2 linked regions of the Tamandua tetradactyla genome follow. The protein of the gene in region 2 purifies or fractionates together with the protein of the main gene of each other region. This does not show direct contact. Links are inferred from orthologs where the notes say so. Each region holds a gene or a part of one and is shown on either strand. Other genes may lie near its edges.

Region 1 (7,765 bases), on a different chromosome or scaffold from region 2:
ACTGACAATGGCAAGTGTGTGAACAATCTCTGGCTGTGGTGATGTGTTTTCGAAATATGTAGTAAATTGGGCAAAACACAAAATGACCCGTGCACAGTGATCACAGGTATGTAAAAATGAGCTCTTACAAATCGATAAGAATAAGGAGTGAATTTAGAAAGACATAAAGAGACTTTTATCTTTACAAGGTTTCTTTCGAATAGAAGGAAATTCAAAATAATTACAATAATGTGATTAAAAACAAGCAGAGGAGGAGACAGAGTCTTTCCCAGTCTCAGGGGACTGCCCATTTTCTCCCAAGGGCTGGAACAACAGAGAAGGGAGGGGAAGGAGCTCAGTGGCAAGGAGGAATCCAGCCTGTCTGGGGAGTGAGTGCCCAGAGCTGGGCCTGGCAGCCCTCCCCAGGGCTTTCCTTCGAGCCAGAGGGGCAGATTACCAATTTGGAGTTGCGTTCCAGGGGCACGCCTCACGTTGATGACAATGTCAGTGATGCCTCCCAGATTTGTGCAACTTGGCAGTGGTGGGGCAGAGAGAAGCCTGGGATGTAGAGGGGGACACGCCCACCCCAGAGTTCTGGAGGCAGCGCTGTGGGGCCATTCGCCCGTGTCCATGCTGCCGCGGTCACCCACGACCTCCTGCAGTGTGTCCGCACTGTTCATCTGGTAGCTGACGAGGGCCTGGCCTGGAGGAGGGGAAGGGCCCACAGGAGAGCGAAGCCCCTCTCTGGTAGGGTGTCAGGCTGGCAGGGAGCAGACGGCTGTGAAAGGCAAAAACCTGGGCTCCCTGGGACTCCGAGACGGTGCCCCCACCCCCAGCCCCCGCAGAGGTATCAAACTCCACTCAAGCTGGCTCCTTATCGCAGTGGTCCCTTCGCCCAGATCTGCTTCTCCTCCAAACACAGCGGACGGCACCCCCGTGCACCCACAGCTCACCGGGCCCTGTGTGAGCTGACCTCGGCTTCATCGCTCCCTCTGCCCCACTTTGCACTCTGGGCCCCACCTGCACTGAAACACATACCAAGTTCCCAGATCATGGCAAGACGTTTCAATAGCCCTGCCTTTTCTCCTGCTGATCGTTCACCCTGGCAATCCCCCCTACCTTGTCCAGCTGCTTAGCTTTCAAGCGTCAGCTCAGACAGCATCTCCCTCTATGAAGTCCCCCTCCCAACTCCAGGTAGAGATCAAGCCTTCGTCGCATTTTTCTCTGTTAAGTCCCAACATTGAGTGCTGCTCCTGAAACATCTTCAGCAGTCAATATATATTTTACGAATAAACGAACAAATAAGTGAATGTGGAGGGTAAATGCGAAGGAGGACAGAAGAGTGAAATGGATCACATATACCAAGCTCACCTGCGGGGCCGCAGGGCCACTACATTTCTGGTGGCAGCATCTCCCACCCCCTCCTCCCACCCCTGTCCAGAACAGGGTCCCCTTTGGTGTCCAGGCCCTTTGGAGACTTCCTCACCACACCACACACACCAGGTGTACCTGTCCTTGGGTCTCTGCTTTTCTGGCCCCTGGACAGCTCTATCAGCTGAGTGGGACTGAGCTGTTCAGAAGGGTGGGCCTGCTTGCAGAGACTCTGAGTGAGGTGGGCAGATGGACAGAAGACCACTCATTCCTTGACATCCATGTGAGGCGACCCCCCCCTTAGCTGGGCTGCGTGGAACCATTTTCGGAGTGGTGGGGGTAGCACGCTATGGCCTTCATCAATGTGATGTCGCTGCACTCCTCGGCTGGGTGGGCTCTTTGATCTCTGGCCCACACATGGGGAGTGGGGAGGGGAGGACAGGCAGCCACCCATGTCCTCAGCAACAGGTAGGTTGCCAAGAACGCCTCTGGGTCCTGGCCTGCCATGAACCGTACAGGCCTGCTACCCTTCCACCAGGGCAGGGAGGGCTGCCCCTCCCGCCTTTCAGCCTAAGTACCCCCAGCTCCCTTAGATCAGCCTCACCCACCAAGCCTCTCCTCGGGCCCAGTCTCAGGTGAGTGGAGAATGACATGCTGCTAGCTTCTTGGCCCCAGCTGCTCAGGCATGGCCTCCTCTGGTCCTGGCCCAAGGCTCCACCCTCCTCAGCGGCAGCAGTGGTGCAGACAACGCTGGGAGACCGGTGTGAGGGGAAGCCTGTTACTTTGGTCTAGGAGGAGGCAAAGAAAGGTTGAATCTCACCACCTGACTGCCATGATGCATAGCTGAACTGGGGAACTGAAAGATGAAGCTTTTGGATAATGGAAGTTTTCAAAATCAAATCCAAAAGATAGACACATCTATGCTTTTTAATTTAATAATTTAATTTGAATAAGCTATCCTAAGTTGCGTGTCTTTCTATTCGAGGGACTTGGAATTTTCATCCCTGGTTCTAACTGGCTCTGCCTCTGTTCTTTAAGCGGGCATCTCTGATCCCTGGGCTCTGATAACAATTCAGGCAAATCCACAGCTTGAAAGCTACTGCGGGCCTTAAAGAGTTGTGGGTGAGGCTGGTGTGATTCTTGGCTCTACCTGGGAGATGAGGAGAAAAATGACAGTCTGGCATGCTTATGGATGAATCTGACATTCTGGTCCTCTGTCTCTAAGCCCTTCTGCTAGAAAAATGCCCCTGAAAGGGGTGTCTGGGTGCTCTGAAGGCTGGGCCAATGAGAGAAGCATGTAAGAGAATCTATCTAAAAGCTCAAAACCGGGATCTGCAGAAGTCTGCCTTCTTCTAGGCACTTCCACAGCCCACTTCAAACAAAGAGCCTCATCAAGCTGGATGGTTAGAATGTGGGCTTCTCCGACTAAGACTTCAGGGCACCCAGTGGAGAGTATTGCACACACCAGTGGAAAAAATGTTATTTCAAACCATAACTTCTTTCTTGGAATTATTGATCCTGTTAAAGGCTCGGTGGGTTTCTGGAAATAAAAAGGTGGATTCAGAGAGGAATTTAGGGGAAAGGCACCAGAAGACTCACATTGCTCAGCATAGTTGAGAAAAATCGGGTTTCCCAGAGTCAATCAGAAAAGAAAGGGTGAGATAGAGGGATGGGGGGGAGTAAACAGGAGGGAGTTAAATTAGATGGCAATGGCTACGGAACTTTGCAGAATAGTGTGGCCAGTGAGAAATCCCGGGTGTCAAAATAGCCAAAATAACTTCTCAGGACATTTCAGAAATGTGATTTTAAATTGTTGACTGTGTGATGTAACCTCTCCCCTGTGACCCACAAACCTTTGCTAAAAATTCTGTTACATGTTACAACTTTATTTTTGTGTCTGCTTTGGGATAGGGGTGGGGGTTGAAAGGAACAAAAGCTGTGTTCTATATCTGAATTGACAGCAAGAGTCAAAGAAGCAGTCACATGATCAGGATAATGAATAAAACTTCAGAGAAGACAGAAAACTGGAGCCAGACTTGACCATGAAAATGTAAGTTCCCCCAGTAATTCACAAAAATTTCAGGGAGGACATTGGACTTTCCACAGTAGCCAATGTAGTTTGAATCTCAAAGGACAAGCTACCTTAGCTGACATGTCAGATCCATTCAGGCTCTGTCTATCCCTCTAGACTGAGCCTTGCAAAACATAAAATGTCACACTCATCTTTGCATTCCAGGGCCTTGGCACAGGATAAGGCCCAGTAAAAATGTGCAAATGGCACACGTGTGCCCTGGGCGCCCACCGAGAGCTAGCAGAGCCTAATGCTTGGTGAACACCGAGGAGGAAAACATTCAGGCCAGGGACCCTCTGCGGACCCATCAGCTGATATTCTAATGGCCACTTCAGCGAAATCACCTCTGTGGCCTGGAGATCGCGTAAACAGGTAAGACCCAGGCGGACAATGGTGGAAGAGGTCAGAAAGGACAGTACACAAATCAGACTGTCCAAAGTTTCTTATGACCAATCCCTATGGGGTGATGGAAGGAGCCATCACCGCCCTTGGAGAGGGTAATTCTGGTCCAAAAGAAACTGGGCAGAGTAGGCTGTCCCGCGCCCCAGATTATTCCTAGGAATGGCCGTAGAATGTGTCTTTTGGGGTTCATGCCTTTTCTGCTAGGTATCCCTCCTACTCCTCTCAGAGACGTCGCCCGGAATCCTGCAGCCCAGAGACCCTCCACCCCACGTCACCCTTGCAAGAATTACACGTCGCTCGCAGGGCTGATGGCGCCATCTGGCGGCGCAAAGGGTCCTGCTCACCCTGGTACACCTAAGAGCCCCACCGAGGAGGGAAGGCTTCGGCATCCAAATCCAGCGTGATGACGTCACGACAGCGCGCCCTTTCTCCCCGCCTCTTCCCCCTCCCCGGAGCTGCCAGTACTTGTCGTGGCGTCACCGCCCTCTGCCCTTACTTTGCGTGCGTGTCTGCGTGTGTCGGAGGTGGCGGCGCGGGCCGATCGGAGCTTCGCGCGGCTGCTTGTGGTGTTCCTTCTGCCGCCGTCGCTGTCGCGCTCTGTTAGACTGCCCGGCGGACGAGGCGCTGGCCAAAGCACCTCAGAACCGAACGCAGCCCGGCGTGGGACCGGGTGGGAGGGTGGGCGAGCGCGTGTCGGAGGGCGCAGTGCGGGCGGCCGGGCGGGCGGGCGCCCGCGGAGGAAGGAGGCGGGGGCGGTGGGTCAGCCACGGGCCGGGCCGGCCGGGGGATGTCGATGCCTGACGCGATGCCGCTGCCCGGAGTCGGGGAGGAGCTGAAGCAGGCCAAGGAGATCGAGGACGCCGAGAAGTACTCCTTCATGGCCACCGTCACCAAGGCGCCCAAGAAGGTGCGGGGGCTCTGGGTGCAAGCGGGGACCTGGGCCTCGCGGAAGGGGCGCGAGCGAGTGCCAGCCCGGGCTCCGGCTAGTTCGGGACTTTAGGGGAGAGGGTTCCGGGTGATCGCGGACAGCTGAGGTTGTGTGGGAGGTAGCGGTGAGCGGCCCCAGGCCCATCCCGGGCTGGAAAGGCCGCCCCTGACTTCGTTTTCCTTTGTTCCTCGGCCGTAGTCCTCCGAGATCTTTTTGAGACCCGACAGGACCGGGTCTTAAATTTGCGGCTGACTTTTCCAGGACGAAAGGCCTCGAAGACAGGTGTGGGAGGGAGTGAATCAATTCAGCTGGCCCTTCTGACCAGGCCGAGGGAGGGGGTTGAGGGGGGTGCAGAAAATCCCCCTTCAGGTGAGTGTGTAAATCTGGCAGCACTTCTTTGGGTGAATCTTAGGGATCAGGGTCCGATTTATCCAGCAACTGCGTGATAACAAGAGAAAAGAATGCGTGGACCCAGCTCTTTTTATGCAGATAAAGGCAATGAGGGCGGTGTGAGATTGAAAAGAAAACTCTAATTTTCACCTTCGGCGGTCTTCCAGTTGCTTCAACAGCTGTAAGAAATTAGCATTTGGAGGTTAGTGACAGCAGACACTGTCATGGATGCAGGTTGATCCAGGAGTCATGTGAATAGACCACTTAGGCATCCCTTGAAAAAGGAGCTTGGGTGGGTTGGAGGGGTGGGTGGTAGGGAAGGATTGCTCATTCTTTACTGCACTTATTAAGGCAGAACAAGTTTAGTCTATTGTACCGTGGGTTGAGCTCAAAGGACACTCTTATTCTATTGTTGTGGAAGACTACATGGGAACGTTTGGAGGTTGTAGTCTAAATAGCGCTTTGAATGATAGAATTGGGATCCCCAGAGCTTTCTGATCATTTGCTGACAACTTCATCTTGACTTTACTCATGCCCATCACCTGGTTAACAGTCGATCAGAGAACCTTTGCAAAGAGGTGACCTTTCTGAAGCCAGTGAGAACCCGGATAAATATTTCAGTCTAGTATAAAGAGAGTGTTTCAAGGCTATCTCTGCCTGCAGTGTTTGATAGAAAGCAGTGCTCAAGTTTTGCAGGAATAGTTACAGTTCTTAAGGCTCCTACACCTGAACTAGTTAAACTACCTTGAGTTGGAAACATGGCTTTAAAAAAAAAGAAAGAAATTTAATCTACTACTCCAGAAAGCAAATGCAAAATTGAAAAGACAAGTCACCATAGTGCACTTTATCTTTGTTTTCTCTAAAACTTGAAATCTTAACAACAGAATGTCTTTAAAATATTGAAGATCCCTTGACTTTAAGGAGTAATTAACCTTATTTTTAGAGCTCTCAGTTCAGCAGATTACTTTGTTGGGGCTGTATTTGTATTCTGCACTGTTCTTTGAAGAAACAGTCACAGCTCTTTCAAGCAAAATTCTTGTGAGTAGTACCTTAGGTGAGTTAGGGGGAAAATGAGAAAATGCTTAATTCCCTGAACTCTTCCCCCCCACACACCCCCCATTTTCTAGTCATTTCAGGGTTTGGGGTGTCTTTATTCTTACCTTTTTTAGTAAACCTTTATTCTTACTTGTCAGTGCCACTGTTGATAAGACAAAGTTTGCATTATGGATTGTAAACTTTCATAAAGACAAGGACTCTCATTCACCATTGAATCCATTGTGCTCAGTACTGTATCTAGCTTATAGGAAGTACTCAATTATTAATTGCCCGCTTGGCTAACTATTAACTGAGATGTCAGTAGGGTTGTCTATTCCTCCTCTCTTCCCAGGAGGAATATTACTAATGTGTATTTTTGTCAGGCCAAGTGCTAATGATTAGAGACTCGTATTCCGTTAGTTGAAAGAAGCAGTCTCTGCCGGGGATGTGATAAGACCCTGCTGTGAGTTACCATTTGCTGGTAAATGTGCCCCTGTGTTTTTAGTTTTACTTTTTCTGAGCTTTATTGTTTAGCATTTACACAGCACTTTGTAGTAAAGTGCTTTATAATGACTAATTACTCTTTCTCTGGTGATGATGAAATCCATTTATTTAGTTAATGGGTCAGTTGAGTACTAGTTCAAGGTCACATAGCAAGTCCTTGGTAATTTGTTTTTCAGAATTTCAGCTGAGTTGGACATTATGATTCAGGTAACTTGTCTACTTCTGCTGTGTGTTGATGATGTGAGAAAGCATGGGAAAAATAAAAGGAAAAAAAGTAACCTGGCCAGGTACTGAATGGTATGAGAAAAGGGCCTCTCACCTGTGAGGATTGCAGTTTGACTTTAGACCAAGTAATTCTTGAATAATTCCAGACCCTGAGGCCATTCAGGAAATGAGGTCATTGCTGGGGCCAGTGAGAGGGTACAGGTTACTTGAGGGTGACCTTGATGGTCCTTAATCAGGTCATATCTCAGAGGAGCTTTCTTGTTAATTCACCTTGTCTGCCTTCATTTAGGTAGAGTGAATATCCTGCAATTAAAAGCATTGATAGCTGGATTCTTTTGCTATAATCATGATTTGCTCAGTTTTATATGCCCCTGGGGTCTAGTACAGTGCTGTTGAGGTAACAGGGCTTGTTGGTTTGATTCAAGGATCCATCTAGCTGTCAAGAAGCCAACTAAGTAGGTTCCTAAGTAAATTAGTTTCTGTGCCGCAGTTTCCTTATCTGACAAATAAGTTGTTATTTGAAATAGGTAGAGATAGGAACATGTTGGGAGCTAAATAGCAAGTGTGCCTTTAAAAAAAAGTCTGTTTATATCTGGTATATTTTCCTGTTTTTAAGAGCATCTGAGATGGCTTAGAGTACAGAAGGTATAGACAATATAAATAGGAAGGAAAGTCAAAAATATAATAAGAAGGAAAGAAATATTTTAACCCTGAGGGCTAAAGTTGTTGATGAGCCTGATCATTGTATGCTACTCTAAGCTTCCTAGCTACCAGAGCACAAAAGGGAATCACAGGGCTATAATCTCATTAGCAGGCATGGGAAATAATACATACTAGTTCCTCGGAAAGACAGCTTTTCC
Region 2 (7,866 bases):
CGCCGGCGCAGCGGCAGGGACAGCAGCCCCAGCGACACGGGCGAGGGCAGGTTCAGAATCAGCCCCAGCACCCGGGGCAGTACCAGCTGGGACAGGGGCCTGGGGTGGGGTGGGGGCGGGAGGACACTGCCGTCAGGACCTCCTGAGCACGCGGGGTCCGGGCAGGGTTCTGAGCCTTACTCAACATGATCCTGGTTTCCTTCCACTCACCTGTGCACCCACCCGGCAAAGCCCCGCCCTCCAGCCACCTGTTCATCAATAACTTCACTACATCAGTCCAACTCCCCATCCACTCTTCCCCCAAACAGCATCCACCCGTCCACCATTCTGCTAGCCACCTGCCCAACAACTTATCCAACATCCACCCAACTCCTCACCCAGTCTTGACCCATCCACCTTTGATGCACCCACTGACCCATCCATTCAACCACTCGACCACCTATCTGCTGTTCCCTGACTACCAACCATCCATCCTTTATTTGGTCAACGACTTAACCACTCATCCACCATCTATTTAGCACCTTCCAACCACCCTTCACCATCCCACTTACTCATCCAGTTACCATCCGTCCACCCATCGATCTCCCCATCAACTCATCCCCCTGACCAAACTGCCACTGCATTCATCCTTCTAACCCACCTGCTGAGCCACCAGTCTACGGCCCACCCACCCATCCACCTCTGCGAACCTTCCACTCATCTACTCTCTGTTCCTGCCTCTGTCCCCTCATCTGCCATGCCCCTCCTCCCTGCTTCATCCCACATTCACGGAGCACAGCGCGTGCTGCCACTCTTCGGCTCCTACCTCCTCCGGTCCCACCACACAGCAGCCAGGCCCAGCCCTTGCAGGGCCGCCATGATCACGTTGACATCATAGTTGCCAGTGCCCAGGAGGCTGCGATGAGGGTTCAGGCGGGAGTCTGGGGCCAACCTGGTTGAGGGGTGGTAAGAGCCTGGGTTGGGGGCCCCTGGGAAGGCCTCACCCTCCCTACAAAGTCCTCAGGAGACTATCTCTCTCTCAGGAGATAGTCTTGACCCCCTTAGCCTGGACTTCAAGGCCCTGCCTGGTCTGGTCCCTCGAGCCTGTGTACCTGCAGCCCCACCCTATCCTTAGCCACCGGTTCCCCAAACACATCTCCTGGGCTCTTGCCCCCCAGCCTTTCCTCCAGCTGTTCCCCTAGCCCTGGAGGCCCATCCTGTTACCACTTGTTCTCTGAGCTCGGCTGCCTGTGAAAAACTGCACCTCTGATCTCTATCTGGGTTGTGGATTATTTTGCTGGGATCTTTTTCACTCGCTAGACTGCAGGCTTCCCCAGGGCAGAGCTTGTATCGGACTCATCTCTGGCTTGAAAGAGTTGACTGATTCCTGCTCTTGAATGATGGATATGAACAAATTATAGAATAACCAGTTTGAAGGACTAGGACTCTGAGGATGCTGGGGAGCCAAGGCTGGGCGGTGAGCAGCAGAGAGGATGGCATCAGCTCAGGGGCCAAGTGGGGGACAGGCTGGAGGGGAGAGACTGGAGACTGGAGTGAGGGCCCAGTCAGGCAAGGACGGGACCTGAACTGGGGCTGGGGCTGGGGGGACAGAACAGAGAAGATGGTGCAGAGAGTAATAAAGAAGCAATGTTCAAAATCTTGAACAGTGAGAAGAATGTGCAAGGCTGACAAGAGGAGGCCATTCTGGGCAGAAAGAATGGTATGTGCAAAGAACTAGAGATCTTACAGTGGGGCTCAATCAGCAAGACAGAAGTCTGGATGGACAGAAGCAGTGAGAGAGGAAGCTGCAGGGGCGGATGGGGCCCTGGATATCAGGCTGAAGGGCTGGGAACTTCCCCTAGGGGTGCTGGGGAGCTACTGGAGGACAGTGAGCAGGGGAGGGGCAGGGTGGTTCCCAGCTTCAGATGGGAAGTACTGGAGGGGAGAGATTAGAGGCTGGGAGGCCAGAAAACAGAAGGGATTAGAGTCTAGGTGAAGGAGAGTGAAGCCTGAGCAAGGGCTGAGGCCATGGGGATGGAGAAGTACAGGAGGCAATATCTCCACCTCTGAGTCCCAGGGTTCAGCCCAAACCGGGTTGAGTGGGGCCTCCCAGGGCTCAGCCTCCCCTCGCTTTGAGAGCCGGGGTGGGGTGGGGAGAGGGGTGGGGTCATGGAGCCCTCTGAGCCCCGCTTCTCCAGGCACCCAAATCAGGGTGGGTGGCGGCCACCTCTTGCAGATCTCATCGGCAGCCTCCTGGCTAAAGAGCTGCTGCTGCAGGACGTTGTTGAGGGCGTGGACAGCACACAGCTCCAGGCGTTGCCGTTCGTGGTACACGGAGGGCGGGCTCGGCCGGGCTCCTGGGGCCTGGGACATGCCGCCCTCGGCTCCTGCTGGGGGTGGGGGTAGAGGCTACTCAGGGGCTGGGGGCTGGAGGCCCAGGGGCTGAGGCCTTACCTCCCAGCAGGCCCTCGGGACACTGTCATTAAGGTAGAGGCTCAGGGCAGCCTAGGAGGACCCTGCTCCCTGGGCTGTGTCCTGGCAACAGAGGCACCCCCATCCCTTGTCCCTAAGATAAGGGCTTTCTTCAGCCCCCCAGCAACAGAGGACCACCCTCACCACATCCATAAGTAAAAGGCTCCCTGGTTGGTCGCCCAGCAACAGAAGAACCCCATCCCGTGTCTCTAGGTAACAGGATCCCTCTCTGGTTACCTAGCAACGGAGGACCACCCCCCCCAACTAGGTAACAAGTCTCTCTGGTTACCTAGTAATGGAATCCTCCTTCCCTGTCTCTAAGTCACAGGGTCTTTTTTGGTCGCCTAGCAACAGAAGACTCCCCCTCCCCTGAACAAAGAGCTTCTCTTCTCCTGTCACTGGGCGACAGGGTCCCCTCCCCAGCCCCTAAGCAACAAGGTCCTCTTCTCCTATCACCAAAAAACTAGGCCCTTTTCCCGAAAACCAAGTGATAGAGCCACTTCCCCGACCCGTACCCCAACCGCGGCGCTCGCTCGCTGCCTGGCAATGCCCCTCACCCCGCCTGCCGTTCCGATCCCCCGAGCCAGGGGCTCCAGCATCACCCTGGGCCGCGGCTCTGAGCTTCGAGTGCGGGGCGGGTAGCTCGGCGCTGACTGGGCGAGCGGGACGGACTACAGATCCCGGCGGCCCCCGCGTGCCGGACTACGACTCCCAGCGGCCGCGGCGGAGCCACCTGGTCGGGAAGTCCACTGTCGCCTCCAGTGAATACGGGACTACAACTCCCGTCGGCCCTGCGGGGAATCCCGGAAACGCACCTCCCAGAGTCCCTTCCCCGCTCACAACCAGCGCAAGACTACGTCCCCCGCTTCTCAGAGGTTTCTGGGAGACGTAGTGCGTAAGGCTCTGGCGATAGCTTCCATGAGTTTTACACCGCCTCCCGCGATGGCGTCATGCAGTGCGCAGTCGCAGCGTGACGTCACAGGAAGGGATCGAGACCACCGACATCAAAACCATGCGGGGAGGGGGGCCTGGGAGCTTTACTGCGACAGAGGGAGGTGTGGGGGAACAGAGACCAGCACGGGAGTGGGAAGGTGGTGGTGGGAGGGAAATGACACGAGGAAGTCCCGGGTTCGTGGAGGCTTCTCAGCAGAGATGGATCCCGGGCCTGGAGGGGAACTGGCAGCAGCCTGCAGAGGAGAGATGGGAATTAAAGACTGAGGCAGAAGGAGAGACGGACAGCTGGAGTCGGGTGGGGGCCACCCAGAGAGAAAGGATTGAGAACCGGGGTGGGGGAGGAGGGCGGACAGAAACCCCTAGAGAGAGAAATCAAAGTTGGGGGTGGGTGGGAAGGGGGAAGAAACCCATAGAGGGACAGAGACCCAGAATATAGAGAGAGGGAGATAGAGGCCCAGAATGAGGGACAGAGATCCATAGAGAGGGAGACAGAGACCCAGAGGGGACAGAGACCTGGTGAGTGGACAAGATACACAGAGAGAGAGAGAGAGGGAGAGCGTCCCAGATTGGAGGGGGTGAGCAGAGATTCGGGGGAGGGACACAGCAGGCATAGATACATACAAAGATTCAGTGATGTGGAGGGGGGGCAGTTAAGGATACTGAGAAATAAAGACTTTCCACAGAGATAGAATTGCAGAACTGGACAGAGCCCAAGACCCTAAGCTCTGTAGAGGACAGGTTCCTAGAGAAGGGGCCATTGGCTCTAGGGAGGGACCTGGCCGCACCCAGAAGGCTGCGCCAGAAGGCGGTGACAGTGGCAGAGCCGGTGACTGCTCCAGGCTCAGCAGGGTTCTCTCTGCGGGTGTGCACGGTAAAGCTGCGCCCTGTGGGGCCCGGGGGACCCTTTAGCTCCACTTCCACCACGTGCATGTCTGTCAGGCTGGGGCAAACAGGGAGGTCAGTTTGGCCCGCCTGGCCCTTGCACCCCCTGCTCAGCTCGGCTCACCTGAGATCGGCCACAAGCACCCCGATTACACGGTCGAAGCCCAGGCTGGGGGCGGCCAGGGCAGCGGCCGCCATGGTGTTGGAGTTTCGGGGGGCCAAGGGGCACAGCCCACGGACGGGGCCTTCATAGAGCACTGTGCGAGAGCCAGGCCTTTGGGCTGCAGCCAGAGGTCCCTCAAGCCGGAAGCTGTCAGGGTGCGTGGCCATGATGACCCTGAGGCTCTGGAAGCAACAGCCAGGGTCAAGGCAGGGCCTGGGGGTCTGCAGACCCCCTCCAGTTTCTGGGAGCCCAGTGGGCCTCACCTGAAGGCCCCCAGCCGCATCCAATCTGGTGATGTCCTCAGTGCCCCACAGGGCCCCCCGAGCCACGAACACAGCATGGTCCCAGTGGTGGGAGGCCTCCAGGAGCTGCTGCTCCGTGTTCTGGTCAGCCAGGGCTGAGGGGGACCCTACCTAGGGCCGGTGAAGGAGGGGTGGGGTTGAGGCCCAGGCTTTAGGGAGGTAGGTGGGAAGGGGGGAGGGGCAGGGGCCTGAGGTTGTGGTTTGGGTGAGGCTCACCAGGAGATTGGCATGACGTAGGATTTGTGCCCCAGAATCCTGGATGATTTTGGGGTGTGCCACTTCTACCACGAGATTGGGGTGCCTGGGGGAGGGGAGAGACGAGGAGGGCCTTGGAGAGGAGTTGGGTCTCCCCACCTCCAGATTCCTTCATAGTCTACAGAGGTCGGCCCCTCACCCTGGCCTGGCAGGGGAAATGGGGAAGCTGGGCTTGTCACATTTTATGTTTGTGTGACCCAAAGACCAGAGAGGGCAAGGGACTCGCCTGAGTTCACACAGACGCCATGTGAGATCAGAAGGGAAGCTTCAGAGAGTCCCCCTTTGCCACCAGGAGATCACTGACCTCTCCCCAAGGTCAGCGAGATTCCGGAGCTGCAGCGAGGGGGGCACAGTCCCTGCCATTCGTCCTGGGTCCCGGTTCCAGACAAAAACAAGTTCTAGGCCCAGTTCTGGCCCCTGAGCCAGCAGGTGAGAGACAAGTGATTGTCCTGGAAAGAGGGAAAGGAGAACGGTAGAGTTGGGGGTGGGGTGGGGACAGAGACCCAGAGGGAGGGGGACGAAGACTCAGATGGGGATCCAGAGGTCTAGAGAGCGCAGGACAGAGACCCAGAGGGGGATGTGGGAGGGAGGTGCTCAGACAGGCAGATAAAGGCCACAGATGAAAGAAAGTGTGTCCGACGGGGATGGGGCTCTGGTGCTTTAGGAAGGAGGTCCCAGAATGAAGGACTCACCCAGGCGGCCGTAGCCCACCACCCCCACCCTCCGTGGGGCGCCGTCGAGAGCCATGCCTTTGGATGGGGGGTTGGTGGTCCGTGCTCCCGCAGCTGCTTGCTAACCCCCTCAGAGGCCTGGGCAGCCACTGATCTTTGGACATTTGACCCTTGAGCCTTCCCAGGCAGCAGCGCAGAGGTGGCATCGGGGTGAGAATCCTCCCCTGCATTCCCGAGGGCATTGGACACAGTGATTTGGGACTCCAGGGCTCCCACTTTATCCTGGCCGTTCTTTGCTTCACTCCATACCCTCCTCCCTTCCTGCTGATGTGGAAAATTTCCTCTGCAGTCCCCCGCCCTCCTTTTGGGCCAGCCAGGTTGTCATGGAAACTGCATCCTGCTTGGGGTGGGAGTCGAGAGGATCGGGAGGGAGGAGAGGAGACAGTGGCAAGGGACTGTGGGCTCTGTCCTGGCGCATGTGGGTGTCCTCCCAACACCCCTCCCATTTCTCCCCGCTTGGTTCTCTCCAGGTCTCCATCTCTGACCTCCCTTCCTCTGTCTCTCTTCTCTCTCTAGTTCTGTTGCCTTCAGCTTCTCCCTGAGTTTCCATCTCCCCCATCCCCTCCTCCCACTGCCTCTTGGCGTGGCCTGCAAGTCCGTGCCCCCCATCCCTGCATCCCTGTCCTAAGCCAAACCCCACACCCCCAGCTGCACTCCACCCCGGGTTGCCAAACTATGCAGGAGGCCTGGCCTGGCCCTTGTCCCAGTCCCTCCCAGAAGAAACAGGAGCTTGCGATCCCTTGCCTCTGTGGGCCCAGTCTCCCAGGGCACCCCCCGCCCCCGGCACCCACACCTCCTCCCCAGAGCCTCTCTCCCATCAGTCCCGCCATCCTTCAGTTCACCTTCACTTTACACCTGTCACTCTCCTCTCCCCCAGTTGCGAGGCCACAGGTTCCTCTGGATTGTATTCTCAGCCCCATTTCCTTCCCACCCGGCCCTCTCCCGCCTCCCGCCTCCCATGGCCCAAGAAGGCTCGGTGGCCTGGGGAGACCCCACGTGCCCTTAGAACGAGCCCCAGCCTGCGCCTCCGGGCGCCTGGCATCGGAAATGGCGGAGGCTGCGGCAGCGCGGCTCCCCTGCCCCCCCCCACCACCTGGTACCCGCTGCAGCGTTGCTATGGCAACCAGGATCCGCGCTGAAAGAGAACCGCGAGAAAGGGCATGAAAGAAAGAAAGAGAGAGGGGGAGCCGAGCGCGGGCATGGAGGGTCCTGAGCGGACAGGCGGCGAGAGCAGACAGGCACACCTCAGGGCACTTCCCTGCAGGGGCGCACAGGGTGGCTGGCTTCAAGAGCCCTGGGGGGGGGGATGAGATGCTGGGGGTGGGGGGCTGGTGGGACCATCCCACCTGGCGCCCTTGGGATGTCATCGCCTTGACCACGGCCTGGGTGCCCCCGATGTTGGGCCGGGACTGTTGCGCAGGGCGGGACAGGCTGTGCCACGGCGAGGGGAGAACATGGGCGGCACCCACCGCCGCCCTAGTCAGGGCCTGACTCTCCTTGGATGGGGGTCTCCCCACCAGCGTCCCCCCACAGGAGGGTGCCGAAGGCCCAGTGCTGGTGCTGGTCACGCCCTTGCTTCTGTCGGGGCCGTACCCAATGGCAGCCTGCTGGGCCCCTCTTTGAGGCTGCACCATGGCCACCTTGGGGTCCCTGGAGACCCCACACCCCACCCCAACAGCTGCCTGTTTCAGCTGAGTCCACTCTTGACTCGTCCTCGCCAGCTCCAGGCCTTCCGAGGGCCTGTCCCTGTCCCTTTCCCCCCAGGCCATGGCCCTTGCCTGCATTAGAAACGAGGCAGAGGTGCCCCGTGCTCCCAGTGCCGCAGCCGGCCACTCTCCCCAGGCGCCCCCTTCCTCCTTACGCGGTGTGGGCGGCGGGGGCCAGAGGGCGGTCCAGACCAGGGCTGGGAACAGTGGAGGGGCCTGGGACCACCCGGCAAGGCCTCGTCCCCTGAGCCCCTGTGGACCTTTTCGTTTCCCGTTCTGTCCTTCTGCTCTCCACCCTGCGTCCACTTCGTTCTCTCTCTCTCCTCCATACTTTCACGACCCCCCCACCAAAACAAATTATTTATTTTTACTTTTTTCCGTGGTTTTTTTCTTCTTCTTTTTTTTAAAGTAATTACAGAGCA

The links.
Region 1: the proteins of JOSD2 (region 2) and AHCYL1 purify together in Homo sapiens (affinity purification with mass spectrometry; 4 studies listed by BioGRID and IntAct, counting the BioPlex papers as one, with this or other methods). This does not show direct contact. The link is inferred for Tamandua tetradactyla from reciprocal best matches to the Homo sapiens genes JOSD2 and AHCYL1.

Annotation. Positions count from the first base shown.
Region 1 is NC_135337.1:12,940,255-12,948,019, reverse strand, and holds the start of AHCYL1 (S-adenosylhomocysteine hydrolase-like protein 1), read left to right. Parts: upstream 1-4,565; 5' UTR 4,566-4,610; coding exon 4,611-4,730; intron 4,731-7,765. UniProt on the Homo sapiens protein: Multifaceted cellular regulator which coordinates several essential cellular functions including regulation of epithelial HCO3(-) and fluid secretion, mRNA processing and DNA replication.
Region 2 is NC_135342.1:10,717,696-10,725,561, reverse strand, and holds the start of JOSD2 (josephin-2), read right to left. Parts: upstream 3,142-7,866; 5' UTR 3,009-3,141; exon of another isoform or gene 2,967-3,008; intron 2,881-2,966; exon of another isoform or gene 2,596-2,880; intron 2,370-2,595; 5' UTR 2,353-2,369; coding exon 2,207-2,352; intron 932-2,206; coding exon 806-931; intron 100-805; coding exon 1-99. Other genes in the region: ASPDH (aspartate dehydrogenase domain-containing protein), read right to left, coding at 3,428-3,638, 4,412-4,632, 4,714-4,863, 4,969-5,053, 5,312-5,456, 5,700-5,754. UniProt on the Homo sapiens protein: Cleaves 'Lys-63'-linked poly-ubiquitin chains, and with lesser efficiency 'Lys-48'-linked poly-ubiquitin chains (in vitro). May act as a deubiquitinating enzyme.